Regions from separate parts of the Mus musculus genome. Here all the other regions are reported to be linked to region 4. Evidence: microRNA targets listed by miRTarBase, many of them from high-throughput screens and not tested one by one. Region 4 holds a microRNA gene; each other region holds the end of a gene's coding sequence. Distances are between the middles of the regions.
The links. Region 4 holds the annotated microRNA mmu-miR-804 (UGUGAGUUGUUCCUCACCUGGA, at 2,169-2,190, shown strand). A microRNA usually pairs through its seed, bases 2 to 8, with sites in the 3' UTR of a target mRNA and lowers its output. Matches are read on the target gene's strand: a 7mer-m8 pairs with bases 2 to 8, a 7mer-A1 pairs with bases 2 to 7 and ends in A, and an 8mer does both.

Region 1: miRTarBase lists Poglut3 as a target of mmu-miR-804. Seed matches in the 3' UTR shown: 7mer-m8 at 3,189-3,195.
Region 2: the mRNA of Sox7 is a reported target of mmu-miR-804. Seed matches in the 3' UTR shown: 7mer-m8 at 2,731-2,737.
Region 3: miRTarBase lists Resf1 as a target of mmu-miR-804. Seed matches in the 3' UTR shown: 7mer-m8 at 618-624.
Region 5: miRTarBase lists Dhdh as a target of mmu-miR-804. Seed matches in the 3' UTR shown: 7mer-A1 at 2,618-2,624 and 7mer-A1 at 2,594-2,600.
Region 6: miRTarBase lists Zfp830 as a target of mmu-miR-804. Seed matches in the 3' UTR shown: 7mer-m8 at 1,630-1,636.
Region 7: the mRNA of Dll3 is a reported target of mmu-miR-804. Seed matches in the 3' UTR shown: 8mer at 647-654.

What each region holds. Positions count from the first base shown.
Region 1 is chr9:53,399,577-53,403,643 of GRCm38, reverse strand. It overlaps Poglut3 (protein O-glucosyltransferase 3), which reads right to left. Exons shown (of 8, transcript NM_212445.2): 8 at 1,777-3,957. The coding sequence ends at 3,832. Mir130c (microRNA 130c) reads left to right here and starts at 2,758; the gene lies at 2,758-2,839. It also overlaps a transcript of 4930550C14Rik not described here.
Region 2 is chr14:63,948,333-63,952,399 of GRCm38, reverse strand. It overlaps Sox7 (SRY (sex determining region Y)-box 7), which reads right to left. Exons shown (of 2, transcript NM_011446.1): 2 at 1,668-4,067. The coding sequence ends at 3,741. Among named protein-coding and RNA genes, the nearest start is that of Sox7, 6.7 kb to the right of the region's middle.
Region 3 is chr6:149,334,470-149,338,536 of GRCm38, forward strand. It overlaps Resf1 (retroelement silencing factor 1), which reads left to right. Exons shown (of 5, transcript NM_026054.3): 5 at 123-1,194. The coding sequence ends at 280. Among named protein-coding and RNA genes, the nearest start is that of Gm38930, 16 kb to the right of the region's middle.
Region 4 is chr11:50,355,922-50,359,988 of GRCm38, reverse strand. It overlaps Mir804 (microRNA 804), which reads left to right and starts at 2,110; the gene lies at 2,110-2,204. Cby3 (chibby family member 3) reads right to left here and starts at 2,228. Exons shown (of 2, transcript NM_029691.1): 1 at 2,186-2,228; 2 at 287-949. The coding sequence starts at 735. The coding sequence ends at 313.
Region 5 is chr7:45,471,800-45,475,866 of GRCm38, forward strand. It overlaps Dhdh (dihydrodiol dehydrogenase (dimeric)), which reads right to left. Exons shown (of 7, transcript NM_027903.4): 6 at 3,806-3,953; 7 at 1,764-3,576. The coding sequence ends at 3,467. Among named protein-coding and RNA genes, the nearest start is that of Bax, 6.9 kb to the left of the region's middle.
Region 6 is chr11:82,765,025-82,769,091 of GRCm38, reverse strand. It overlaps Zfp830 (zinc finger protein 830), which reads right to left. Exons shown (of 1, transcript NM_025884.4): 1 at 1,470-4,067. The coding sequence ends at 3,629. Among named protein-coding and RNA genes, the nearest start is that of Zfp830, 2.7 kb to the right of the region's middle.
Region 7 is chr7:28,290,197-28,294,263 of GRCm38, reverse strand. Dll3 (delta like canonical Notch ligand 3) reads left to right here. Exons shown (of 9, transcript NM_007866.2): 8 at 139-223; 9 at 338-709. The coding sequence ends at 343. Selenov (selenoprotein V) reads left to right here and starts at 3,078. Exons shown (of 6, transcript NM_175033.4): 1 at 3,078-3,941. The coding sequence starts at 3,187.

The DNA.
Region 1 (4,067 bases), not on the chromosome of region 4:
TGAAGACAGAAACAGTGTACTTACATAATAATAATAATAGTACAAAATTGGGATTATAATACTTCAGTTGTAGGACATTTACCCAGAAGGCATGAACCCCCATGCTCTTCCACTGAGAAAGCAAACAATCAAACTCGGATCACAAATCGAAGAAAGTTGAGAAAAGGCGCGCCTGGTGGAGAACTCACCCAGTGATTCTCGGGGCCGCTGTGCTTCCTCTTCAGGCCCCGATGACTAGGCCAAAACTGCTTAAATTCCCTAGAACAGTAAAGTCAGAAAGGTTTACTCAAGCCGAGCAGAAACACTCAACAAATCTATTCAATAGACAGGAATCTACCAGGGGCGAAAGGTTTTCTGGGAACTTCGCTGAGCACCAGTGTTTATAAGAAACAGAAATGAACTTCGAAAATAACTTGATTATATACAGCCTCGTTAGCCAGTCAGCTGTTACAGCTCATTTTCTGGCTAATTAGCTCCAGGGACTTTTGCAACAAGCCCAGTCAGGTTAGCTACTATCAATCTCTATGTTCACCCGGCTCGCTGGGCCCAGTGCAGCTGTCCAAATCCATGAGCTCCCATTAGTAACAGAAATAACATAATGCCAGTAAGAGCAAAATATTTATTTATATTACTCCTTTTGCGAGGCACCATTCCACTCCACACTGGTTCACACCGTGGACTGCTTGGTGAATTCCCCCGCCCCCCTCCCCCAACCCCAAATGCTAGAGTCCTGGCACAGAGGGCAAACAATTGTCCATGGATGGTTTTTTAGCTTCTACCCCAGAGCCCCGTCTGCGGGCAGTGATGTGTGTCGTGGTAGGGGGCTCTTACTCATTGCGTGGGACATGAAACCTGGGCAGATGGCCTGATGTGGTGGGAAGACAGCTTTCGTGTTTCTCTAGGGAGTTTGTTTCTTCTTGCCGCCGCCTAGTCGTTTACAGTAAAGGCGAGTCCTTGGAAAACACGTGTATCCGTTACTTTCCTGTTGCTGTGGCAAGATGCCAGAGCAACAACTTGAAGAAGAAAGCTTATTTTGCGTATGCGCCAGCGGCCACCACGAAAGGGAAGGGTTGGCTTGGCTTCAGGAGCCACACAGAAGTGCAGCGAGAGCAGGAGGCAGGGCAGGCTGTAAACCTTCAAAGCCTGCTCCCCAGGGATGGTCTTTCTCTCTCACCGCTGCATCTCCTACAGGCTCAGTAACCTCTGCAGACAGCACCACAAAGTGGGAACCAAGCGTTCAGACATGTGAGCCCATGAAGGTCTGTTTGCTGCTTAGCTTTCTGTCAACTTGATATAAGCTAGGGTCTTCTGGGAAAAGTGAACCTTAAATGGGAAAGTGCCTTCATCAGATTAACCTAGAGGCAAGTCTGTGAGGGCATTTTCTTGATTAATGATTGGTGTGGGAGGAGTCAGGAAGGCACAGGGGAGGAATAAAAGCAGAAAGGGCAGGATTAGAAGAGTGGAATGAGACACATGTTAGAAATGTAAAGTGGTATAAAGCACTTTGCCCCCATTTCTGCCCAATAGGGACAGAATGGCCATGACAGCAGTTTTAGTTCAGTTATTCATGAGGACATAATGGAGAGAAAGCTAGAGCAGGGTCAGAGGGAATGCTCAGTGCTCGGGCTGCTCTTGCAGAGGACCCAGGTTCAGTTCCCAGCACCCACATGGCAGCTCACTGCCATTTGTAACTTAAGTTCCGGGGAATCCATTTTTTTCTGGCCTCTGTGGGTACCAGGCAAGGTGTGGGGTAGTAATATTTATGCAGGCAACACTCAGACACAGAAAATATATTTTTTTAAGAAATAAGCAAGCCTTAGAGACATATCAGGGTGCAGGTGGTATGAATCTTAAAGTACATGGAGTTCCCTTTCTTATTATAAAAATGTGCTTTATTTAAAAAAAAAAAGAGTATATAATAAAACCACAGGACAACATTCTAGACATGGATTCTTAATATGGCATTGTGGAAAACATAAATATCTGTTTCTTTCCCCTTCTTATCGTCTCCTCTGTGCATTTATTTATTTATTTTTTAGCATGTTAACACTTATTTTACAGCTTGATTCTATATCCATAGTTTAAAACCAATTTGGATATTATAAAATGGTATAAAGCGAAAATAAAAATCCCCCTCTCTCTGTACTCTTCCCAACCAACCCTTTCTTTTAGGAAATGTCTTCACGTTCTGTCCTGTGCCTTTGGTCATGGAAAGCTTTCATTCCCGCATAATTAAAACTGGTTTCTTCTTGTTGATGGTGGTGCTCAATTCCTCCACTCGTCAGTAGCTATGCGAGCAATGTCAGTAGCTATGCAAGCAATGCGCTCACAACCGATGGGTGACGGCCAGTGTTTCAAGCCATAAACATTGTTGACAGTTTATTCAAATAAACACACCTATATCTTTATAGCCTTACATCCCTCCCTTTTTTGAAAGTCATATAAAACTTTCTTCTATTGAAATTAAGGTATAATTATATCACTGTCCCCTTTCTCCCTCCAGTCCCTCTCTGGGGGTTTCTCCTTATTCTTAACTCATGGGCCCTGAAGCCAGATATATTTTGATAAATACTTCAGTATTAAAAGTGGCTAATGGACTATATGGACAATTGGTTAAGTTGGAAGGGAAGGAATTGGAGCTTAATAAACCAGCTGGTTCCCCTAAGGTATGTGCAAGTTAATGAACCATAAAGCCATGTAAAACTCATTTCAAAGGCTACGGTCAAGTGGAGTTAACCTAGATTTCTTGATAGACTTGTTACGGTTTGGATGTAAAATGTCCCCTGCAGGTTTGTGTGTCAAAGACTCTGTGTCCAGTGCAATGTTCCAAGGTGTGACTGTTCAAAATGAGAATCGGACAAGTCAATAGAAACTGCCTAGTTTGTTTCAACTTCTTTTTCTCCTAGTTCTGCTAGGACTATTCAGCCTCAAACGACATCAATTTAAAAAAATTAATGTGTCTCTAACAAAATACCTTTTTCTTTCTGAACCTGTGGTTAAAGAGGTAGAAGCGAGGGAGGCAGTCTTTCTTCTCATGTCCATATGGGATATTTGTCATGCTGATATTTCTAAGATCTAGTTAAAGATACAAATTCTTGCCGGGCGGTGGTGGCGCACGCCTTTAATCCCAGCACTTGGGAGGCAGAGACAGGCAGATTTCTGAGTTTGAGGCCAGCCTGGTCTACAGAGTGAGTTCCAGGACAGCCAGGGCTATACAGAGAAACCCTGTCTTGAAAAACCAAAAAACAAACAAACAAAAAAACAAACAAACAAAAAAAAAAAAACCAAAAAACCAAAAAAACCAAGAGGAGAAACAACACAGGGAGGAGACAGTCGAGCCTCCCCAAACACTTTGCCCTTCATAATTGAATATAAAAGTAAGTGAATTCGACTTTTATCTTGGATAAAGACAGAAGCAAGCCAGTGCACCTGAGCGTGCCACCCACGGATTCCCAGTGATTTATGAGCCTTTTATCCACTAGGGTGCACAAACAAGCAACTCCAAAGATATTTCATAATACTGAAATTCATGATCTTCCTGACTTAGGCTCTCGAGTGTGGGATTAAAAGCTTAGCATTTCTCTACATTTCTTTTTTGTTCTGGTCTTTTGATAAGATCCAACTGGGTAAGCTGGGCTGGCCTGGAAGTCACCACAAATCTCAGGTAGGCTTTGCACTAATGAAATCCTCTTGTTCTGCTTCCATTGTGCCAGGATTGCGGGTGTGAGCCTAACCCACCAGGCCTGGTTTCTCTGGTCCTTCACAGCTTAGCATCTTTCACAAGTCTTAAAGATGCAGCTGGCATACAAAGGAGTATGGAGCTGGGTCTCCTCAAAGCTCTTCCCTCTCAGGCCTCCTCCGGTGGCACTGGCAGATGGATGTGCCATCATCCGGCTGGGGAACAAGCTCCATTCCATCACGAATCATGGGCTTGCTGGCCTGGCGCTCGGCATATTTCTGAAATATGTTCGGAAGGAACAGAAGGTTTAGTTCATGCTTCATTCTAGTCTAACCTCCCCCACACCTCCACCTCCAACCATGGCGCTTCAAACCCAAACCAAAGATCT
Region 2 (4,067 bases), not on the chromosome of region 4:
GGCAGATATGACAAGCCTGAAGTTTGTATAGTTGGCAGGAGATGTAATGGTGGGGGTGTGTCTTAGAGAAAAGAACACAAGTGTTTCCCTTTCTACAACATTTGTGAAAATAAAGACTGCCCTGCACATAAGCAAGTGGGAGTTGAAATACAGGGCTCCTCAGCCACAAAGTGGGTCACCTTTGTTGTTCACTGCTTAAGGAACAGGAACAGAGATCTTAAGGCAAAGAGTGACATGGGAACGTCAGCATTTTAGAAAAACAACTTGCTGTCATGGCTTGTCATCCTGTAAGATGACATCAGTCACATTGTAACCTGAGTACCACAGGCAGGGTGCACAGGTAGCTGGGACCCACAGAGACTTTGGTTCCCACAGTGTCCCACTCAGAGCAGAGAACCCTCCTGCCTTCTTGTCGTCTCATCGGCATGGACAGTGTAACCACACTGTGTGTTACAATGATGCATGCCCATTGGGCAGTGCCAAGGGGCATACCTTGACCAGATACTGCCAATTCAGAGCTCAGTATAGCCAAGGATAGTACCTCAGTGCTCTCTGCATATGGCCACCACTGGCCAGGTGCAGAGCATCACGGCTCTGTGTCATCTCAATTGTCACCCATAATTGCTTTCTTCTTCTCTGGCCTGAGATGGTCATGGATTGAGGAGCAGTTGAATCCATGCCCCAGTGAGGCACAGAGAATGGAACCAAGGAGGCTAAAGAAGGGTTTCCACAAGTCCAAGGCTAGTCTGGGCTACCTAGTGAGTTCCAGGTCAGTCTGAGCCACAACATGAGGCCACATCTCCAACACCAAAACCAGGACCAAGGAGAAGCACTAAACCCTCAGCCATGAATGCTCCCAATGAATGCGCCTCATGGGTGCTGAAGCCAACATCCTAGGAGGGTGGCGAGTCTCACGCCATCTCCCACTCGGAACTGTAGTGTCCCTGGCTGTGTAATGTGGTGGGAATGATGAGGCCCACCTGGGCTGTGGATGAGAAACAGTTCAGAAACCTTCTCTAACACTCCCAACAACAATGAAGTGCTACTGAATAATGGGTGTGGGTTATGATCAGCAGAGAAGGATGTGCAGAAACCCAGGAGGGCCCTCGTTGGCCCAGAGGAGCATGGGAAGGGGCATGGCTACCTTTGACTTAAACAAGTTCCTTCTTTACATGAAGAGCAGCCCATATTAGGTGCCATACATGGGACAGAGCCAGGCTGATTTTCCAGGAGCTTTTTTGACTGAGCGTGCATCCTGGACTTTCCCAGCTGTCTCAGACCTTGATTCCAGGCTGTGTGCCTGTCTCCCCGACAGCATGTTGTCCAGTCCAGAGGGCCACTGCATACTGCTACACCACTCAAGTAGGGGAGAGGACAAGATGGTCATTTGCTTAGACTTGGGAAGCGTGCAGTTACTGAATAGGCATGGAGAAACTGCTCATGTGGGTTGCTATGGCTTTCCTTTTCCAATGTCAACAAAAACAGCACTAATGTGTAGAATCGAAGTTTGTCTTTTCAGCACAACTCATAAAGAAATTTAAAACCCTATATAACAAAAACTCCTTAAAATAAAAAGTCGACTCAGAAAATAACGCAAACAATATTACAGGTAGCACTGAGACCTAGTATGAATTTAAAAAAAATACTATTTCAAAGGATAGAATGGTGAAGGTACAAAAAAATTTATTTAAATTAAACATTTTGAAAAATCAATTTCATAACTGTTCCATGCATATTTAGTTTTCTTGAAAAAATGGAACAGAGTAGCTTAATGCCTGTGATAGTGTTTCACGAGATTATTAATATCCATCCGGGACTGGGCACCAGTCAATTACATCATCAACAATTCACTATTTGTTACCAAATGGTATATACAGTAATAGCATAAAGATTAAGTATATCTTATAAGTGATATTATAATAAGACTTCTTGGGGATCTGTCAACAATACAAAATATAAGGTGGACATAATAGCAGAATATAAAAACACATTTCATAAAGGCAATAATATACACGTGTCCAAGGGCAGACAAGAGTCTGTTAGCTCAGTGTTTGGTATGTTCCTTCAAAGGAGGTTTAGAGAATGGAAATGTCTGGGGTGCGACCAAAGCTCAGAAACATCTTTGGGTGTCACAGGGTGTTTGTTTGGGACAGCCAAAGGACTGTGGGATAGGTGATTGTTCTGATGTATCCACTTGAGAAACAAGAACCAAGTTCCCTTCACGCCCAGGGGAATGGTGCCTGGGATTCCAAGCGAGGGGCCCTTTGAATTAGGGGCCAGTTTGGAGGGAGAGTAACAGAGAAGAGAGAAAAGCCCTCCTGGGAGCAAGGGGCAGCAGACATTGGGCAGAGAGTCATCTTTTGCATCTGTAGATAAGAGTATGCTACAGCTCTGCTCTAGAAATCAGCACACCCCAACACTTTTGTGGACAGACGTTTTAGGTTTCTAGCTCTCTGGTTCATTCTGTGATGAGGGGATGAGACATTGTCACAGTTGAGAAGAATCTAAATCAGGGTACACACCTGGGGCACAGTGTTGGGAATAGGCATGCCTGCATAAGGTCATTTCTCACACTGTAGTCGCCTGAGATGTATGTAACAAAAATAATGTATCTAAAGTATATATTAAAAAAAAATCCAGGCTGGGTGTGGTGCCACTCACCTTTAATCCCAGTACCCAGGAGGCAGAGGCAGGCTTACTTTTGAGGTTGAGGCCAGCCTGGTCTACACAGTGAGTTCCAGGGCAGCCAGGGTTACACAGAGAAACCCTGTCTCAGAACAAAACAAAACAAAACAAAACAAAACAAAACAAAACAAAACAAAACAAGTTCTAATCTGATTTTGCTTTCAGTGATGCAGTTGAACATACTCATTAATTTTCCGAACCAGGGTAGATCTTTTCCTTTAAAAAAATTACATTTAGTGTGTGTGTGTGTGTGTGTGTGCATGTGAGCATGCTCAAGCACACATATAATGCAGGGGCACACGTGCATTTGGAAGTCAGAATACAACTTGCAGGAGTCAGTTCTCTTCTTCCACCATGTAGGCTCCGGATATAGAACGTAGGTCATCAGACTTGGCAGCAGGCAGTCTTACCCACTGAGACATCCCACACCATCTTGCCAGACCAAAGGTGAATATTTTTCTCGACTGAAGGAGTTTCTTTGGAATTCTAGGGTGGCTGTGGACAGTATTATAGGAAAGCAGAAAACCTGGGTCCTTGGGCAGTCATTCATTCATACTTTCCTTGGCCTTGAGAGGGCTGTAACTTGGAGATCCATAGAGCGAGGGCTTGGCTATGAAGCCAACCCTCACTGTACAGGAGAGAATAGTCAGGGCTGGTCAAGCCAGAGTGGGGTTTTGCCAGTTAGAGACTGAACTGAGATGGACCCCAGGCCCAGGGTCCATCTTACTGGGAGCACCACAGATCAGAAGTAGCTACACCAAAAGCAGGAGCTCCAATGCACTGGGCTTCTTCCCATCAGCTACACTGATGGTGTAGAGCGGCTAGGAAATCCTACTGCAAACAGCTCCCAAGGCTGTGCTTCCTTGATGAAGCCGACAAAACACATTTAAAGGGACAGAAGGAGCGCTGGATCCTGGCTTTTGACCGGAAGGCTCTGGAACAGCAGTTTTGACCTCTTGCCACCAAGGAGTGGCATCGCCACAGTTTCTGCTCAGCTCAGTGCTTCATAGGGAGGAGGGGATGGCAGGGCTGGGCCAGGCTCCATTCCTCCAGCTCTATGACACACTGTAGCTGTTGTAATACGTGGCCGTGGCATCAGCCAGGACTGAGATGAGGCTGGTCTCTGTAGGGCCTGTGGGAGTCCCCTGGGAGAGCGGGACATGCCCAGTGAGGGTTCCAACCCCTGCAGCAGAGTCAGGGTGGCCGGGAGTGTTCAAATACTGATCAAATTCATTGCGATCCATGTCTCCCAGAAGTTCCACCTGGCTTAGCTGATCCAAGGTGTCAAAGCCAGGGTGCTCCGGAGGTGGGGACAGCTGGCCCAGGTGGGCCTGGAGGTTGGGGTGGAGAGGGTGGTAGGTGGCATGGGAGTAATAGGCTGG
Region 3 (4,067 bases), not on the chromosome of region 4:
ACTGCCATTTCAGCTATCTGGCTTTGTTTTCTGTTCCCATACAGATACTGTACATTTTGTCTCACTTCTGATTGTTGTATATTTGTTGTACTGAACATTAAGTATCATTTTTATTTTCTCAGATAGTGCTGACTCAAGACTTTCTAAGAGAAGCCTCAGTGCAGATGAATTTGAAATACTACAAAACCCAGTAAAAGAATCAAATATCATGTTCCGGACCTACAAAAAGATGTACCTTGAGAAGAGAAGCAGAAGCCTCGGGAGTAGTCCAGTTAAATAGTCCCAGGAAGTCATGGTTTTTGTTTTTACCAAGAGAACACCCCTAGTCTTTTCTTTTCAGGCTCCCTTGCAGAAAATACCTCAGGACAGTCACATCGGGATTTCTCAGCCAAGGAGTTCCTGTATAGCTTTTCACTGATACTATGTGACTGAAATGTTGGATTAGCTGCTGGTGAGCAGGCAAAAAGAAAGATTGCATTTGTCTGGGAATTACAAAGTGTATGCTAATGATGCAGTGATCTGCATTGTTGAACTGTGTTTACTGGGTTTTTTGTTTTGTTTTCTTTTTTTTTTTTTTTTTTTGAGACAGGGTTTCTCTGTAGCCCTTGCTGTCCTGGAACTCACTCTGTAGTCCAAGCTGGCCTTGAACTCAGAGATCCACCTGCCTCTGCCTCCCGAGTGCTGGGATTAAAGGCCTGCACCACCACGCCTGGTTCACGTTTACTGTTTTAAGTCTTGCTGGCACAGTGGTGCATACCTGTGACCCTAACATTTGACTCGTGGACACAAGAGGATCAAGAATTCAGGGTCATTCTCAACAGAATAGTGAGTCTGGTGAAGTCAGCTTAGGCTACATGGGAGCCTCTCTCTAAAAGCAAAACAACAGCAACCAAAAAAGGGGAATGAGGGTGGCTTATACAAACCTTACTTTGAAATGCTGTCATCCTGAGGTAACTTGGTTGTTTGACTGGGGCTGTAAATAGATTCTTGTTTCTAAGCACATTAGCAAAATTTATTTTTCAGAAAGTGCCCATTGTGAATGTCAAAGTATATTCCAAGTATTTTGTACCTCATTGTAAAGGTTTTTTCAGAAGTCTTGTTTTATACTTTTGTTAAAGTGAATGGAGTTTTTGGAAGATGTCTTAACATTACTTTTCATACTTGAAATAAACATTTATTTTTTAAAGAACTACAGTTTAAGTCTTCATGGTTCTGTAAGGGCCTGTGATTCCTGAAAAATGATACCCTAGATTCAAACTATGCAACAATAAAGAGCATTTATTCTGCAGAGAACCAGCATGGAAGGGTCTACCACACATCGGGATGAAAGACGATAAAAGACAGATATGGACCTTGCAGGATCAATTTAAAGCCTGTTAGGGTAGTAGTGGTGACGGTTATCTTTCTTCCCCTTGATTGGTTGGATATATCTCCAGGGATATGGTTGCCTTTGTGATTGGTTTAGGCTCTGGAAGATTTGGGGGACTTTTGCTGATTAACTATCAGCTCAGGCTAGGTAGTGGGGCAGCTTCTGACTACTCCTCGATAGGCTATGCGTGAGGGGTGGGTTTTTCTGGAATTGACTTGTTTTGGACTTTTCCAGTTCTGGGAAACAGAAACTTAGGCCTAGTCTCCCAAACTGCCAGTTTGCAGCCTGTCATGGAGGCAGCCTAACTCAGGCTAACTTAGTCCTCTCAGTTCCATTTCTCTATGGTTTTGTATCCTCACTAATAGACGCATGTGGATAAGTCAGATATGATGGCACAACCCCTGGGAGACTAAGGCAGCCTGTGCTACACTGGGAACAGAATGTTTGCTTCTAGGAGAGCATTGGTTATTTTTAGAAAACTTTTGCCTCTTGCAGTAGTGGAAATGTAGGACCCAAAGAGCCTTATGTCTGGGATGTCCCACTCACAGAAACACAGAGACAGAGATTGATGCAACAAGCAAGAGGTTTTGTAAGACTCCAGGAGCCTTAGCTTACTGGGGACCCCCTGAGTGAACTGCGTGGAACTATGATCTATGCAAAAAGCAAGAGGAATTTATTTTACCAGTGCACTGGGGTTGCCCCAGACTCGAAGGAGAGGCGGCAACCCCTAGAACCCCTTCGGTGAGTTTTTATATGGTTTCTAGGGGCAGAATAGAGCATCAGCAACTAGGCACAATATGATTGGCAGAACAGTGCACCCTTTAAACTGATTGGTCTTTAGGGAATGAGGTGACAAGGACTTCCGATGTCTGAAAGTGAGCAATAGTCCTATGGAATGTGTCCCCAAACACAGGTTGGTTCCCACCCTGTGATCTGAGAAATGTTAATTAGCCTCTTTGGAGGGGCAAGTGTTTCATGACCTTCTCAAAGTTCCTAAGCTGACCTTTTCATTACTATCTTATACGTCAAAAAGAAAATAATTTTTTCACCATTATATGCTCATTTCTACCTCTTGTTTTCTTTTTCCTCCCCGCCTCCCTTTCTTAAGGGTTTCACTCAGACCTTGCTGACTTGGAACTAACTATATAGCCCAACTTGGCTTTAACTCAGTGCTATGTTCCTCCCCTCTCCCCCCAACACACACACCATTGTTTGTTTGCCTTAAAAAGATATATTGTGTTTGTGTGTGTGTGTGTGTGTACCCACCCATATGATGGCCTGCAGAGTTCAGAGCACAGCTTTAGGAAGATGGTTCCCTCCTTCTATCATGTAGATTCTGGGGAGTTGAACTCAGGTTTTCAGACATGGCTTCAAGTGCTGTTACCCACTGAGTCATGGCTCTTATTTATGTGATTTTTATTTGGTTGGGTTTTTGTTTTTTTGTTTGTTTTGTTTTTTGGGTTTTTGTTTTTGTTTTGTTTTTGGAGAAAAGGTCACTCTGTGTAATTCATTCAGTCCTTCAGCATCCTGAGTGCTGGTATCACAGGTGTATATCATAGCACCTGGCCTTTCCCCATGATCTGCTAGTCACTTCTGTTGCCTTTTTGCACTGCGCCAGTTTGTAGCTGTTGAAAGGTGAACAACCAAGGTAGATATGATACTGTGTAGTTAGTACTCAGGAGGCTGAAACAAGATCTTGAGTTTGAGGTTAACTTCTGTCATATGGTATATTCCTGACTTTAAAACATAGAAGAAAGTGGCTGAGGAAATGGCTTAATGGGAAGAGGAGAGCTTGGTGTGAAAGCAAGAGGATTTGAGCTCAAAACTGCCAGTGCCCAAATAAAAGCATGGCAGCATGTATAACTAACCCCAGTGTTGAAGGGTAGCGATAGCATGCATATTCTGATAGTTACAGGCCAAGATATCTGAGCTTTAGGTTCAATGAGTGGCCTTGTCTCAACCAAAAATGTGGAGACTGATAAAAATACCAACTGCCTCTGGCCTACATATACATATACACAGATGTGGGCACCTAAATGCATGTGCACAAGGAATACACCCTGACTCAGAAAAAAAGCTAAAACCCAAACAACTAAAACCACACTGGAGAAAGAAGTCAGTTTTTTAAAAGGAGAGTATGTGTTAGGAATTTGACAGACCTTGAGGAACTTTGTTGGCTACTCAAAATCTGGCTTGGGCTACTCCAATTTTCCTTAAACTCTACTTCTATAGCACTATAAGGCCTTTTCCTCAGGGTTGAGGATTATTGCCATCTTGAAGCAATGCATTTGTTGCTTCCAAGACATTTTCATGACAGTGGGCCTATTAACATTTCCATTTGGAGCCAGAGCAGGTTCATGAGGCTGCTCCCCTCAAGGTTATATGAATGTTAAACAGTTGCTAGAAGACTCTTATGTATAGCTAGCTATTGAGTTGCCTGTATTCCTGTAAGTAACCCCCAATAAGCTCATGTATAGTTCTAGGTCAGTACTGGCTATTGCTATAAATGAGGCTAAAGAATCTAAAGGAGTTTTGACAAGGCCCAGAGGCAGCTGGGAAACTAAGAGACATGTAAAAGAATCAATGTTTTATTTTGTGTGTATGTGGGTAGATAACTAACTCTGCTGGAGATTTGAAGAGAGACATGTCAGGTGTTAATACCCAACTGAAAGGTTGGGAGATTTTCAGAGGAATTTGG
Region 4 (4,067 bases):
TTTTTAATGCTGGGTCAAACAGAAGTCTTTATTCCACGTATGATAAAATCACAGTCTTCGCCAATAGAAAACAAAACAAAGAGTGTGGGAAAGCAGAACCTAAGGTTTGGAGAAAAATCCAAGCGCCCTCTCCCGCACTGCCCAAGCGTCTCACGCGCTTTAACTCCCCCTCCTACTTATCTCTGCCACACGCAGCTCCACCCAAGGAAAACCCGGATGCTCAAGGGAAGTGGACCACCCGGGCCACCAGGGCGGGGCGGGGCAAGGCGAGGCGCGTACTCGCGGCCCTGCTTTAGGTACAACTTTATTGCATCACCGCGACTCCAGAGCGCGCGGCTGGATTATAAGTACTCCCGCGCCCCTTTGCTTGGGCATCTTTCTCTTCCAGGAGCGCGCCGGGGCCGCAGGGTTGTTATCCGCGTCCACCTTCTTCTCCAGCAGTTGCATGCGCGCCGTAGTCTCTGTTAGCATGTCCATGAGCAGTTCTTGCTGCAGCTTCAGGTAGTTATTCTCTTCCAGCAGCACCTGGCTCTTAATCGGCTGCACTTGTGGCTTCCAGGCCGGGATGGTGGAGGAGGGCAGAGGCGTGCGCGCGCTTGCGCGCTTCCCCTCTGGGGTCCAGCGGCCGCCGCGGAAAACGAAGGCCTCGTCGCTCAGTCGGGTGCGCGGCTCGCCGTAGTTGAGCCCCAGTTCGGCCTGTCGCGTGCGGTGGTCCAGCAGATAGAAGGTGGACATGGATGAGATATGGCGCAGCGGTGGCCTCCGCGGCGAGAAGCGGCGCGAGAAGTGGTCGACCCAGAATTGCCTCACCTGTTTCCACAGGCGGCCCGCTTGGCTCGCCGCCAGGCACTCAAAGGCCTCCAGGGTGAAGGTGGTGTGGGCCACGCGGGGCGCGCGGGTGTCTGGAACCCTGATGTTCTGGAATGGTGAAGGCGAGCCAGTGGCACTGCTGGAAAGCAAATGGCCTGTGAGCGGCCTGCTCAGGCTAGACTCTGCAGTTGTAGGCTAGTAGGGGAGCCCATTCCTGCATAGTCACACCAGCCGTGTTCACCAAAATTACCTCCCCGGGACCCTTTATCTAGGATGTAGGTGTGTAAGAGATAATGTAGGGCTGGGCAGTGATGGCACATGCCTTTAATCCCAGCACTTGGGAGGCAGAAGCAGGTGGATTTCTGAGTTCGAGGCCAGCCTGGTCTACAAAGTGAGTTCCAGGACAGCTAGGGCTACACAGAGAAACCCTATCTCGAAAAACAAACAAAAAAAGAGATAATGTAAAGGCCCAGAAACCACGTTCTCTGAAATGCTGGAAGAGACCACAGGTAGGGGGCCACAAGTAGAGATCAGTAGCCAAGCAAGTAGGACAGGCCTTTTCTTGCTGACAGCTGTGAGGCAAAGGGCTGTCATGTTCCAGATGCATGAAAGAGCCGACAAATAGGATTGGTTCCGAGAATAGCAGAAACGTAGGCTAGAAAGGTGAGCCAGAGGGCATTTTTCGGTACAGTACAGGGAAATTGAACATTGTGGTTGTCATTCTTTAAGGGAGGCTGCTGATGGCTGCAAAGTCAGGGTTAGTGTGAACTCGGCAGAGCATCTGTCTGGTGAGATGTCTAGCACATTCTAGCACTGGCACCTGCTCCATGCCAGGTCTGGCCTGCACAGAGGATACCACAAGCACAGCCTTTGTCTATCCTCAAGATGTTCCTGGTCCAGCTGGAAAGGCGTGTATTAACATCCAGTGTAATCAATGACATCATAGGACAGACAGGTAGGTGCCTTAGCCTAGACCCATACTTAGCTTTCAAGTAACTAGAATGCTGCACACTAGAGTTAACTTTTGTTCCTAGCCAACTACTGATAGGAATCTAAAGCCCAGATAACTACCAGAACCCATCTTACTTGCTTCCTAACTCTTCTCACAACACCTATAAAGTGCTGATTCTACAGTGTGGTTTTTCAAATACCTCTCCTGCCATCGAGGGCAGGAGTGAAAACTGCTGTCGGGTTTCCTTTGCCACACCTTCATTAAACCCAACAGAATTGTGCAGGTGGGCAGAGACAGGTGTTCTCCCCCACCCCCTGATTTAACTCATGGAGCGAGTCTCTGGAAGTCCCTACACATCCATCTTTGAGGTTACAACTTCCCCAGTAGACTGTTTCCTGACATTCCTTGTGAGTTGTTCCTCACCTGGAAGATGTGGTGGCGGTGCCCAAGCTGCTGTCCCAGGCCTGGCCCCATTTCTGGGTTATGGCACCCACCTGTCTGCCAGCTGTGACTCACAATGCCTCCCTGCCAGGCCTCCTAGGGTAGAGGTGGTGTAGACAGTGAAGTGTGTTCAGTTACGGGAAGTTTCCGGAGCATTGACTGTGCTCCAGGCACTGTTCTGGGGGAGGGAAGACGTTCAATCATAAAATCGCACCCCTCATTTTGTTTAAATCTTTGTTTTGATTTAGGTCCTTTTGAGACAGGATAGCCCAGGTTACCCTGTAGCCCAGGCTAGTAAGAATCCTCCTGAGCCAGTCAGTGGCAGCAGGTGGGTTTCAAGAGTTCGAGGCCAGCCTGGTTCAAGGCTGCCAGGGCTACACAGAGAAACCCTATCTGGAAAAACAAAACAAAACAACAACAAAGGGATCTGCCTGCTTCCTGCCTTAGCCTTCCAGCCGGATTATAATCATATGTTTCTGGCTTCTATGTGGAAGGTGGGAGTATGGGTAGTGTGACCTCTGGCCAAAAGCTAACCTCCAGTATCTTCTTGATCACTCTTCACCTTACTTGTTTGTTTACTTATTATAAACATAAAGGCAGGGTATCTTTATGGAGTCCTGGCTATCCTGGAACTAGCTCTGTAGACCAGGCTGGCCTCAGACTCACAGAGATCCACTTGCTCTGCCTTAGAGTGCTGAGATCAAAAGTGCACCAACCTGCCTGGTCTTCCACCCTATTTTTTGAGTCAGAGTCTCACTGAACCTGGAGTTAGCAGAGTCAAAAGGCCAGCTGGCCAAAAAGCTGTAGGGATCTTCTACCCCCACCTTTGCCAGGGAAGTGTCTTCTTGGAGTTGTAGTGACATCAAAGGTGAGAGAGAGCTCCCAGAGATGCACTCTGTGAACAAGGTGGGAGTTGGGTACCACTCGACTTCTGGCCAGCTATGAAAGTCATGTGTTGTATTAATGAAGATAGGGCAGAGGGATCTTACTCATTCTGTCTCTCCCTTAAGTTCCAGACAGACATTGCTGTACCCTGCAGATTGTGTGTGTCAGTGTCCCGTGTCAGCACTGGGGTTAGAGATGCAGGCTGCCACACTCACTCAATCCCATGAGAACTGGGGTTCTGCACTCAGGGTCTCAGGCTTGTGCAGCAGGCCCCTCCCTCACTGAGCCATCTCAGGCCCCTTACTTGGGTTTTTGGAGACCTGATCTCACTTTGTTAGCCTAAGCTGGCTCAAATCTCCTAGGCCTAAGTGATCCTCCTCCCATCTTAGTCTCCTGAGCAGCTCCAGCCTATAGGCTGTGGCACACAGTACCTTAAGCCAACATTCTTGGCAATGGGGTGGATGGGAGGTGAGCATAAGGAATCTGGTATTGCTCTAGAACACATGTAGATTGCCCTCCAGGAATTTTAGTGCAACCTTAGTCCAGAGTGTAGCAATGGAAACTTTTGGGGGCAGATTGAGCCCAGGGCTTCCTGCATGATATTTGTATACTCTTCCAGTAACTTTTTAATTTTTTTCAAATCCTACTTTTAATGATTTTTTTAAAGATTAATTACTATACATAAGTACACTGTAACTGACTTCAGACACACCAGAAGAGAGTGTCAGATCCCATTACAGATGGTTGTGAGCCACCATGCGGTTGCTGGGAATTGAACTCAGGACCTTTGGAAGAGCAATCAGTGCTCTTACCCTCTGAGCCATCTCGCCGGCCCTTAATGGTGGTTCTTAAATGCTTTAACCTCCCTTGTAGCCCACCACCCACCAGAAGTAGTGGGAAAGAAAGGATTCGGGAGAAGTGGACTTGTTTAGAAAGGTTCTTTGGAGCCACTCCCATCTGGGTTGTCAGGAAATCAGCA
Region 5 (4,067 bases), not on the chromosome of region 4:
TACCCAAGCCTGCCCCTCTGCCCAGCCCAGGGCTGTCTCTGTTCTGGTCAGAGGTAGCTGCCGTTGTGGGTTTCTCCCCAAGAATCCTGTGTGAGGAGGAGTGTTGCATGGTATGACTGAGGTTCCCCTTGGCTCCCCATCACCCAGGTACCCTTGCACCAGGAAGCTCTTTCATTCATTCTTTCCAAAGAAGCAGCCTGGTGAGGCTGAGGCTGGACAGACAGGGTTAGGGGTTAACAGAGAAAACAAAGGCAAGATGACTTTCAGGAGCCCAGATGTCAGGGGCTGTGTGGGAACAAGAAGCAACTTTGGAACTCATGGAAAATGGCCCAGTGGTTAGCGTAATCACCGCAGGTGTGCCTGGGAGAGGCAGGGTCCCAAGGACTCCATGCTCTGAGGACTTGACTCTCTTATGGAGTTTCTCTCTGCTTGTTGCCCTTGAGGTCACCACTTTGCCCATAATCTACGGGTTGTATGGAAACTCTAAGGGGGTTTCCAGTCCCTCACTGGGCAGTGTCTGTAACTGTTAGGACTTTCTAGGCCAGCCAGCTCCCAAATAATGACAAAGAGACCATTTATTAATTATAAAAGCTTTACAGGCCTTAGCTTACTGGTTCCCAACTAGCTCTTATAACATAAACTAACACTTTTATATTAATCTATGTTCTGGGCTGGAGAGATGGCTCAGTGGTTAGGAGCACTGACTGTTCTTCCAGAGGTTCTGAGTTCAAATCCCAGCAACCACATGGTGGCTCACAACCATCTGTAATGGGATCTGATGCCCTCTTCTGGTGTGTCTGAAGACAGCTACAGTGTACTCACATACATAAAATAAATGAATCTTTAAAAAAAAAAAATCTATGTTCTGTAACGTGGCTTGTTATTTCTCCTCTGGCTTCTTCTGTGTCTCACTGGCAAATCTCCTGCCTCAGATTCTTTCCCCGAGTTCTTAACTCTCCCCAGAAACCTTGCCTTTCTTCTCCTGTCTCAGCTATAGGCCATTCAGTTCTTTTTTTCTTTTCTTTTTTTTCCCAAGACAGGGTTTCTCTGTGTAACCCTGGCTGTCCTGGAACTCACTGTGTAGACCAGGCTGGCCTCAAACTCAGAAATCCGCCTGCCTCTGCCTCCCGAGTGCTGGGATTAAAGACAAGAGCCACCACGCTCAGTTCTTTATTAAATCAGGCAGTGTTGAAGGAAGTGTTTACAAAACACTACAACAGGTGATGATTAACAATACCAAAATCTGGCCTGCCTACTCAGAAACCAGCATTTGAATAATACAGAGACAATCTTTGCACAGCGCAAGCGCACATAAAGATCACCTCAGCAAGTATCATTGGTTCTTACAATAATAATGATTGATCTCTTTTGAGCATTGCTGTTGGAGCAGATTAAGGATTCGGCCTCTGGGCTGGTGAGATGGCTCAGCGGGTAAGAGCACCCGACTGCTCTTCCGAAGGTCCAGAGTTCAAATCCCAGCAACCACATGGTGGCTCACAACCACCTTTAACAAGATCTGACTCCCTCTTCTGGTGTGTCTGAAGACAGCTACAGTGTACTTACATATAATAATAAATAAATTAAAAAAAAAAAAAAAAAAAAAAAGGATTCGGCCTCAGAAAGAATTTAGAGATGTAGTTAGTATAGTTAGGTTAAGATGTTTTTGTTAGCCGGGTGGTGAGTTCCAGGACAGCCAGGGCTATACAGAGAAACCCTGTCTTGAAAAAAAAAAAAAAAAAAAAAAAGATTTTTTTTTTTTTGTTAATGTAGAAAATCTTGGGGAACAATTTAAATTTAGAAGAGCACACTTTTGATAGTTGACCCTAGGCCTGCAAGCTTCTAGCCTCCGCACAATCTTATCTAGGTCTACACTGTTTCAGCCTCTGAGACTTACTCTGAATAAGCTTTTTCTTTCTGAACTCAGTTGTTCTGGCTCAAACTCCTTTCTAAGCTGACTGATCCAGTCTGGCTTCTCTCAGCCTCTAACTGGGTTGTTCTGCTTGGCCTCAAACTAACTCTGGCAATGTGTTCTTATCTTCTGGCTCCTTCTCACTCCCTGGCTTGTTCTGTCTTCCCCTGAGTCTAGCTTGTTCTCTGTTCAACCTGTCTCTGTAGCAGTAGCCTGCCTCCTCCTCCTTCCTATCGCCCTGCCTTGCTCTCTTAAAGCAGTCTCTCTCTCTCTCCTCTCTGCTCTCATGGGAGCTGGGCACATCCTAGTCTGTCAAATCTGATTTGTTGCTTGCCACTCAATTAGACATCACTTTCAAACATGGGTGCTTCCTTTTACAAACTAACTTTACCTCCATTGTTTTGAATTAAAGGTGTATATGCCAAGGGCTGAACCACACCGCAACCAGAAACAGGTTTTTGTTTATGTACCCGAGGATTTAAAGTAGAAAGGACTGTTTTTTTTATATAAAAGTTTAGATTTGTGATTCTTTAAGTTTTTTATGATTACATTTAGTTCCTGAATCTATTGCCTGCCTGTGGATCCCATTCCCCTAACTGGGCTGTTTCATCTGGCTTCAGTGGGAGAGGATGCACTTAGTCCTGCAGTGACTCCATATGCTGTGTGTGTGTGTGTGTGTGTGTGTGTGAGTGTGTTTGTGTGTGTGTGTGTGAGTGTGTGTGTGTGTGTGTGTGTGTGGTACCCAGGGGAGCTTCCCCCTTCTCAGAGGAAGAGAGGGAATGGGGGGGGAGCTGAGCTGTGTGAAGGGAGGACTGGGAGGAGATAGGTGGGGCTGATACTGGGGTGTAAAGTGAATAATTTTAAAAATTACTTTTCAGGACAAATAACAAAATGATTGTTCCTTTCTTCATAATCACAAATTGCAGCTTGCCAGTCAAAGAACTGGCTGAGAAAAAAATACCTTTTTTACCCACAGTTTGTTAGTCTATAACAAGTTGCTTAGACAGGAATGTATGTGGATTCATGTTAATAATCTGTTTTCTGCATGTAATATATAAATTGCTTAATTGTGTAAGGGTGCTGGGGGCCTGCTGGGCTTTGTAGTTGTTGTTTTTACTTGAACTCATTGTACTTCATTTATTCATCCACTTAAAGATAGAATGTAACCACATTGTAATTTTTATACTTCTTCAAAGAGTTTGCTGGGGGATATGGGGGAAAAATAAAGTTGTTGGAGCCTAGCTTCATCCATCAAGTGTGTGTGTGTGTGTGTGCGTGTGCGTGTGCGTGTGCGTGTGTTTCCCCCTAAAGTAAAGAGAGAACCTGTTTGTCCTAGAAAGAAGCTTTGGTGTCTGTAGACTCCCCTGACTCCACACCCTGACTCATCAAAGCTGGCTCCCAACACCCAGAAAGGGAGAGAACACGTGCTGATTTGCAGCAGCAGCAGCAGCAACAACAACAACAACAACAACAACTCCAAAGCAATGAGAGTCAGGTTACAGAGGTCCAAGCAGGAGGGAAGGTTGCTTGCCACACACATCTGTCGCAGGAGCTGTATCAGCGTTTATCCTGGGGGAAGGTGACTCCAATGGCCTTCCTCGCCTCCTCAAGGATCTCAGCCAAGAGCTCACTCTCTGCCAGAGGAACTACAGGACTCTCCTTAAGACCTGGGAAGAGTGACCACAGGAAGACTTGTCTAAAACGCACGCATCAGACAGCAAGAGGACTATTAATTCCCAGAAGTCTTTGCGGCATGGGCAGGGTAGTTTGAGAAGGTGGCTATCTCTCTGAATCCTGGGAGATGTAGTTCTAAATAGCTACTTGCGTTTCAGGGCAGGCTAGAACACAACAGTCCCCTCAGATGTAGCCCCAGTGCAGCCCTCCGCCCCTCCTCACCTTTACGCAGGCACTCACGCACGTGGTTGGCTTCATAGAGCATGCATGACCCATTTACAAAATTGTAGTCCTTCCCAAGGACAGGCGGAGGGAACTCCTTCCTCTCTCCATTCACCACCAGCTCTGTTGGGGCCCACAATTTTTGAATCTAAAGGAAGATAATAAGTGACTACTCGGCCCTTATCAACATGGCTCAAGGACTTTACTCCCAACAACCGGCTGGCTGAGCGGTACCCAGGACCCAGCTCTGGCACCTTCGAGT
Region 6 (4,067 bases), 32 Mb from region 4:
GTACATTTGAAGGCCAATTGGGTTAGCATTCTTTTTCTTCCAAGTTAGGGTAGACTGGACCGTTTTAAATAGAGAACAGCACAGTTGAACATCAAATCTGACTCTGCTCAGATCATGTAATAATCTTTAAAGTTTGTGGAGCTGCTCAACTCCCATAGCTGTTCCCTCGATCTCAAGGACTCACTGAGCACCGGATATAATCATGGGTCCTTCTCTACTACTAAGGACCATTGAATCAGATTTTGAGATTCTTGGTACTCTTAAAAAGGCCATGGTAGTTCATGTGCATGAACACACCTAACATTTCTTATGGCTTTGGAAGAATCATTCAATGAAATGTTAACTGAAGGGCATGGATTGCTGAGTAGTTAAGAGCACTTGTTGCTTCTTCTAAAGGACCTGAGTTTATTTTCTAGCATGCATGCTGGGTGGCCCACTGCTGTTTCTCTGGTCTCTATGGATGTGTGTGTGCTCACACACACACACACACACACACACACACAAAGCAAATCTTATCTACATCATGACATGTTCAATGATAAGCCACACCTAACCATTCCTAACCTCCTCTGCTGCCAGTAGTTAATGAACCTTCTGCTCACTACTTCCTCTGCATGTATATTAGATCTGTGCTGATGTCTATTGAACACTCTCTCACTCTCTCTCTCTCTCTATATATATATATATATATGCTGCTAGATAAACTTAGATTTCAAAAATGTACGCAAAAGTATTGAGTAGTCTTTTTCCCTGAAATAATATTTTAGATTTAGCAGAGTACCTAAAAACATTAAAACTTCACCTGTTTCTTTTAAAAATGGCTACTAGATTTAAAATACGATTTGTATTTTATTTTTGTGCTTTAGTTTTTTGAAATAGAGTCTTATTGTCAAATGTACGGCCCTAAAATAACAATCCTCCTGCCTCTCCTTTTCCTAGTGTTAGGATTACAGATATGGGGCTGGTGAGATGGCTCAGTGGGTAAGAGCACCCGACTGCTCTTCCAAAGGTCAGGAGTTCAAATCCCAGCAACCACATGGTGGCTCACAACCATCCATAATGAGATCTGACTCCCTCTTCTGGTGTGTCTGAAGACAGCTACAGTGTACTTACATATAATAAATAAATAAATAAATAAATAAATAAATCTTTAAAAAAAAAAAAAGGATTACAGATATGACCCACAATACCCAGCTTTGTGTTTGTACCGAAAGTGCTCCTGAGGTCATCACCCACCTCTCAACACAGCCTCGTTCTTCCTTGCATGCTGAGATGACTGAAAATCCTCAGTGTGGGGGTCAGACATCTGAGGCAGGCGCACTTTTTGTAATTTTCAAACTGAAATAGCTAATAGTTGACAGTTAAGAATTCAGACTTTGTAGCCGGGCGTGGTGGCGCACTTTTTGTAATTTTCAAACTGAAATAGCTAATAGTTGACAGTTAAGAATTCAGACTTTGTAGCCGGGCGTGGTGGCGCACTTTTTGTAATTTTCAAACTGAAATAGCTAATAGTTGACAGTTAAGAATTCAGACTTTGTAGCCGGGCATGGTGGCGCACACCTTTGATCCCAGCACTTGGGAGGCAGAGGCAGGTGAATTTCTGAGTTCCAGGCCAGCCTGGTCTACAGAGTGAGTTCCAGGACAGCCAGGGCTACACAGAGAAACCCTCTCAAAAAACCAAAAAAAAAAAAAGAATTCAGACTTTGTGTCATAAGGAGCAAGATTATTAATCATGTGTGGCACATACCAAGTCAGACAATGTCTTCTTGGTATTCATACCTAAAAGAAAATCCTGGGCTGGAGATATGCTTCAGTGGTTAAAGAGCACTGATTGCTCTTCCAGAGGATCCGGGTTCAATTCCAGCATCCATATGGCAGCTCACAATGGCGTGTAAGTTCCAGAGGATCTGACACCCTTCCACAGACATACATGTAAGTAAAACACCAATGCATATTTAAATAAATCATTAAAAAAAAAAAAAGTCCTTTGACATTCCTATTCCTGTCCCTTCTACATTTTTTTCTTCTACTTCTAGTTACTAAATGTTAGCTCTTCCTGAGAAATTGTTATTCCCACCCTCTTAGTCCATAACTAATCAGTCGCTTAACTTTTGAAGTGTTGTGTACATAATTTCCCAGTTCCTTGTCCTAGACTTCTTCCATACCACACACTACAACTAGAATAACACCGAATTGTCACAGACTTCTTCAGTTTAAAAAAACCCAAATCCTCCATTTATTTCCACATTGCCTGTAAAAACAGTTCTTTAGAATTAAAGGATTTTTTTTTTTTTTTATTTTAGACAAGGTCTCACTACATAGTCCAGGCTGCATCTCCCTCAGCCTTCCAAAAGCTGCAATGTCAGGGGTGAGGCACCACATCCAGTTTTCAAGGCTTTCAGGCCTTTTCTTCTTGGTGGTTTTCCTTATAAAACCTGAGCTAGAATGGGTTAATATATGTAAAGTGCTTAGAATCCTGACTGGCCTAGGCTTAGAACAGTATGTCTTAGCTATTATAGTAAATTGGAAGATGCTGTATATAAAACACTCATCCTCCAAAGCAAGGAAAACTTTAAAATATCAATAACTAGAATAAGGTAACTGGCATTGCCTTACTAGCAACTTACCTATCTTCCTGCCATTGAAAGAACCTGTAAACACAAGCCTGATTTACCACAAAAATAAAATTTCCAACTCAATGGGGTAATATTTCCTTCATTTGAAAACTGGCTTGGTGGTGGGAGAATACTTGCCTAGCATTCCCATAGCTCTGATCTGTTTAGCAGCACTCGGGGGCAGGGAGTACAGTAAACTACAGAGCATGTTCAAGGAAAACAAAGCCTGAAAAATATATAGATAGGTTTTACACTTAAGGCAGCTGAATCTCCAACCTGGGCAAATACTAGAATAACCTGGGAATAGTCAAGAATATTGTCATCTGGATCCCATTTAATTTATGGAATCTTTTATGGTCAAAACCTCTTTAAGATGGGGCTCAGGCACTAAAGCTTCATAGGCGATTTGACATTCCATGAACAATCAAAAGTTTCACAGGTGATACTGATGTACAACTTAGCAATCATTGATCTTGTCAAAAGAAACACTGTGCTGGAGTCTGGACATCTGTATGCTTTTGAAAAAAGAATACCCATCCACTGCTTTATGAAGAATATGTGTTTATGAGTGGCCTTCTAAAAACAACCTTCCCAAAGCGCCAACCCTTGGAGTTTAAGGCTTGAAAATATATATACATCGAGGTCATATAAACATGTGTCTTTTTTATCTGACTAATATAAGGATCAAAACAGAGTGACTTATATAAATATATACTTAGCTATGTGCAATATTTACAACTTAGATTTTACAACTGAAAAACCACATTGAACCTGTAAAGATGAAAAAGTTGGCAATTTGTGGTTATAATTTCAAAAATGTCAAAAACGGTTTTACCTCAAACATTTTATAATAAATAGCACCGCACACAGTACCATCCCCAAAGTATTACTCCTCACTGGCTTACTTTATCCCAACAATTAGGGGTATCCAAGGTCAGAGGAACCCAAGAACTTGGACACAGCACTTTTTAAGGGACAGCGGGGACTGATGGAAAGCTTGGGTCTTCAAAACCTTACAGCAAAGCCCCCTTTACCCTCCAGTCCTGAGACAGCAAATCCTGTAATTCTCCTTCGTCGTCACTGTCCACATTCTCCTCTTCCTTTTTCTGAAGTTCTTTTATGGTCAAAACCTCTTTAAGTTTGTTTTTTATTTCATCCTGGCGATTCCGCAGCTTTTCCACTCGGCGGTAACATTCTATCTGCTCATCAATCTCTCCAATCTGCCGGTCCAACCGTCCCTCCTCATCCTCTTCAGCAACGATCGCTTCAGAGATAGTGTTGACTTGCCTCATAGCCTTTTGAAACTCGTCCCACTCTTTGTCCATCTGATCCTTTGGGGCATCCACCTTCCGGACCTTTGCATCTACCTCAGGGTCGTCGAAGAACCCTTCTGGTAATGCTTCGGCGGTGTTCTCTCTTCTTTCCACCACTTTTTCATGTATTTCTGCTTTC
Region 7 (4,067 bases), not on the chromosome of region 4:
AGCCCTAGCCCTCTTCTGATGGGGTCATTGCAGAATTCTCCCTTGCCAGTCTGCGGTTTCCCTCTTTGATGGGTGTGGGAAATAAAAAAATGAGAATTCGTGGGGTCTGAATTGTCCCCCGTTTCTCTCCTCCCACAGTTCGTCGGCTGACTGGAATCATCCTGAAGATGGAGACTCTAGATCCATTTATGTCATACCAGCCCCTTCCATTTATGCACGAGAGGTATCCTCGACCCACGTTCCCACGTTCCAGGCTTTGGACACTTGGCTCAGTGGCAGCCAGCTCCTCCCACCCTCAATATCTTTTCTAACGCTTCTTTCTCATTTCTTTTTTCAGGCCTGATCCTGCCCCTTCTCTATCTTGTCCCTTCTCTATCATCGCCTGGAGATGGAGCCTGAATGATTTTATTTACTTTGTGGTGTCCAATCTCTACCTCCCCCTACCGACTGGAGACTCTTTGAAAGGGCTTTATTGTACATATTGCTTATTTATAACCTAGTTTTTCTCATCTCCCCAGAGACATCTATAAAGGTTCTTATTTTGCTCAACCACATCAGGCTGAGAACTTTTTATTTTCCCAGGATAGAGTTTCCTCTCTGTAAAAGCCCTGGCCAGCCTAGAACTCTGTAGACCAGGCTGGCCTCGAACTCACAGAGATCCACCTGCTTCTGCCCCCTAAGTGCTGGCATTAAAGGCGTGCACCACTCCAACAGGTGAACTTTGTTTTTGATGTTGAAACTAAGAGAGCTGTCTCATAAGGGGAATAGTAGGTTTTTGTTGTTCTTAAATTGAGACAGCATCTTGTGATAGCTTGGAGCTCATTGTATAAACCAGTAGCTCTCAACTTGTGGGTTGCAACCCCTTCGGGGGTTGAACAACCCTTTCACAGGCGTCACACATCACCGATCCTGCATATCAGATATTTACATTATGATTCATCACAACAGCAAGGTCATAGTTATGGAGTAGTAATGAAATGGTTTTATGGTTGAGGGTCACCACATGAGGAACTGTATTGAAGGGTTGAAACATTAGGAAGGTTGAGAGCCACCTCCTTTCTTCTTTCCTTTCTTTCTTCTTTCCTTTCTTTTCTGTTGTTTTTTTCTTTTTAAACAGGTACTTATATTATATGAGGGCTCTGTCTTCACACACAGCAGAAGAGCACATCAGATCCCATTACAGGTGGTTGTGAGCCACCATGTGGTTGCTGGGAATTGAACTCAGGACCTCTGGAAGAGCAGTCAATGCTCTTAACCGCTGAGCCATCTCTCCAGTTGTGTTGTTTTTCAACACAGGGTTTGTAGCCTTGGCTGCCCTGGAAGCCACTCACTCTGTAGATCTACTGGATTGCCAACCAAGCTAGCATCAAACTGCAGCAGCTTTCCAGCGTCTGCATCTTGCACACTGGGAATTACAGGCAGGCACCACCACGCTGGACTAGGCCTGGTCCTTTGATAGAAGGCTCACTAAAAGTTTTTAGGCTTGTGGTTATGCTGTAGCACAGGTAATTAGATTAAAATATAATTAAAATTAGCCAAGAGATTCTGGCACGATGGCACATGCCTTTAACCCCAGCTCTTGGGAGGCAGGAGCAGTGGTTGTCTGTGAGTTCAAGACAAGCCTTGTCAGAGCGAGTTTCAGGATAGTCAAGGATCCATAATGGGACCCTGTCTCAGAAAGGGGGGGAAAAAAGGCTGAGGCAGGAGGATTGTAAGTTTAAGGCTAGCCTAAGCTATATAGCTGTGTGTCTTTCTCAAAGATAACAGAAAGCAAAACAAAACAAAAAATACGTTTAAAACCCAGCCAACTAGAGAAGGGGATGTGCCAGGGTCCAGGTCAATTCCTAGTCCAAACATCTGTGTGTTCTTCCTGTGGAAGCACCCACTGCACTGACGTCTGGCAACACAGCACGTTAATGGTCACGAAATGTACATTGCATTCTGGGGCCTAGAGTCTTCATGAGGTCTTGGTCAGGCAGATAAAGTTAATAGCCCTCCTGGGGCAGAACTGACACAATGTGGCCCCAGGCTGTCATCACTATCCACGTTATTGTGGATTGGCTGGTCTATGTATGCCCCACCCCCCTTCCAGAAGGATATTCCCTGGCTTAGAAATACTGCCCCAAAGCCACAGGCAGAGGCTGACATCTCTTGAGACATCAACAGGGTTATGTGCATCCTGAGGGTTTTTTTTTGGGGGGGGGGGTGTTGGTTGGTTTTGTTTTTTTTTTTTTGTTTTGTTTTTGTTTTTTTTTTTTTACTTGAGAGTGATTTTAAACTTTTGATCCACTTGCCTCCTGAGTGCTGGAGCTACAATCCTGAGTCAACATAACTGGTTTGTGTGGCACGGGGGACTTGGACCCAGGGCTTTGTGAATGCTATGAAAACTCTATTAACTGAGCCACAACCCCTGTTAAGTCATCCTTCTGTGAGCCTCAGAATGAAGTCTAGTCGGCCTTACATGGTCACTGTCCCTGGCTCCAATCCTTGTCACCTCTGCCTTTTGCCTATACTCCACTTCTCAAACTTGTCCCCTTTCCTGGTGCCAGCTTCCACTTTATCTCCCTAACTCGGGTTCCACAGGATTGGTTGATCCAGGTCTTGTTCTAGGAGCTGGGGATACAGCATGAAGAAGACAGAGTCTCACTTTGACCACTCCCCGGGAGTAAATTGGATTATTTGTGTGGGTTGTCGCTATTTTTCTCCGGACCTCGTATCCTGCAGAGAGGTGCCTCCTTTCTGAATTATATGGGTGCTGGTATTCTCCACTGCACTGACGGTTTTAGGCTGTCACTCTCATACTGGGTGTGACCTCCTATCATGGGCAGGAAGCAAGGAGGGCAGAGATGCATTGTCCCCGGAATCCCCAGCGCTAGGAGGGCGCTTAATGAACTCAACCAGCTAAACGCATGAGTGTCAGGGTGGCAATGGGAAGCTCTAGGCAGAGTTGGCTCCTGCTGGGTGGGGATAGGGACAGGGGCGGTGTCTATTCGGTGAGATCTGAAGACAGCAGCGCCTCCCTGGCGCAGAGCTTGGAATCTCCGCCTGACTGGAACCCGGTGTAACAGTGCCTGCTCGTGGTTGCTTCGGTTTTTAGAATCCTCGGGTGCGAAAGCTCTCCTCGCTCAAGGAAGCAGGGCGAGGCGGGACGCTTAGCCTGGGGTACCCGGGTCTCACCTGGTCCCCATGAATAACAAGGCGCGGGTCCCCGCTCCCTCCTCAGTCCGGGCAAACACCCCGGCCCGGACACCCGCTCCCATCCGAACCGCGACCCCAGTCAGGGCCCCGAACCCAGCGCACAACTCGACTCCAGTCCGAACTTCCATCCGGGTCCGGGCTCCTGCCCAAGTCCCTAACCCTGTTCCAATCCGGTTCCCAACTCCAGCCCCAGTCCCTGCCCCAACCCTAACCCCAGCCCCAACTCCAGCTCCAGTCCGGCATGCAGCACCGGTGCGGACTCCAGCACCAGTCCGGGCCCCGAATCTAGGTCGGGTCTTTCCTAAGATCTCTCCAGGCAGGTTCTTCCCGAGCTTGGCCTCGCCCACGGCACAGCCCCTTTCTTCCAGGGCTGCTAGCGCTCTCTTGAAGGATCCCACACTCGCTCAAAATCAGAAACCCTCGATCCACAGCCTAGCGGAGGCCATCCAGGGGCCCCTTCCAGTGCTCACTCCCTCGTCCTCCAAGACACAAGGCTCCATACCGGACACCGCCTCTCCCATAGACTCCTTGGCTTCTACTGCCATGGCCTCCAGTACATTGGGCCCCATTCCGGGCCCCAACCCTACACTAGAGTTCTTGGCCTCCCCGCTGAAGGAAACCCCTGGTCTGGGTAAGCTCTCCACGATTTCCCCAGCACCCAGCTTCGGTTCCACTAAGGAGATCCCATCCACCAGCGAGGACGTCCCAACGCCCAACAGAATCTTGATCCGTGTGATGTACTGGTGAGGGGCTCCCCCTACCCGCGAAAGAACGGGAGCCGAGCCGGCAGATGCTGGAGCTCTGGGCGTGTGTGTGTGTGTGTGTGTGTGTGTGTGTGTGTGTGTGTGTGTGTGCAGGCCCAGGTGGGC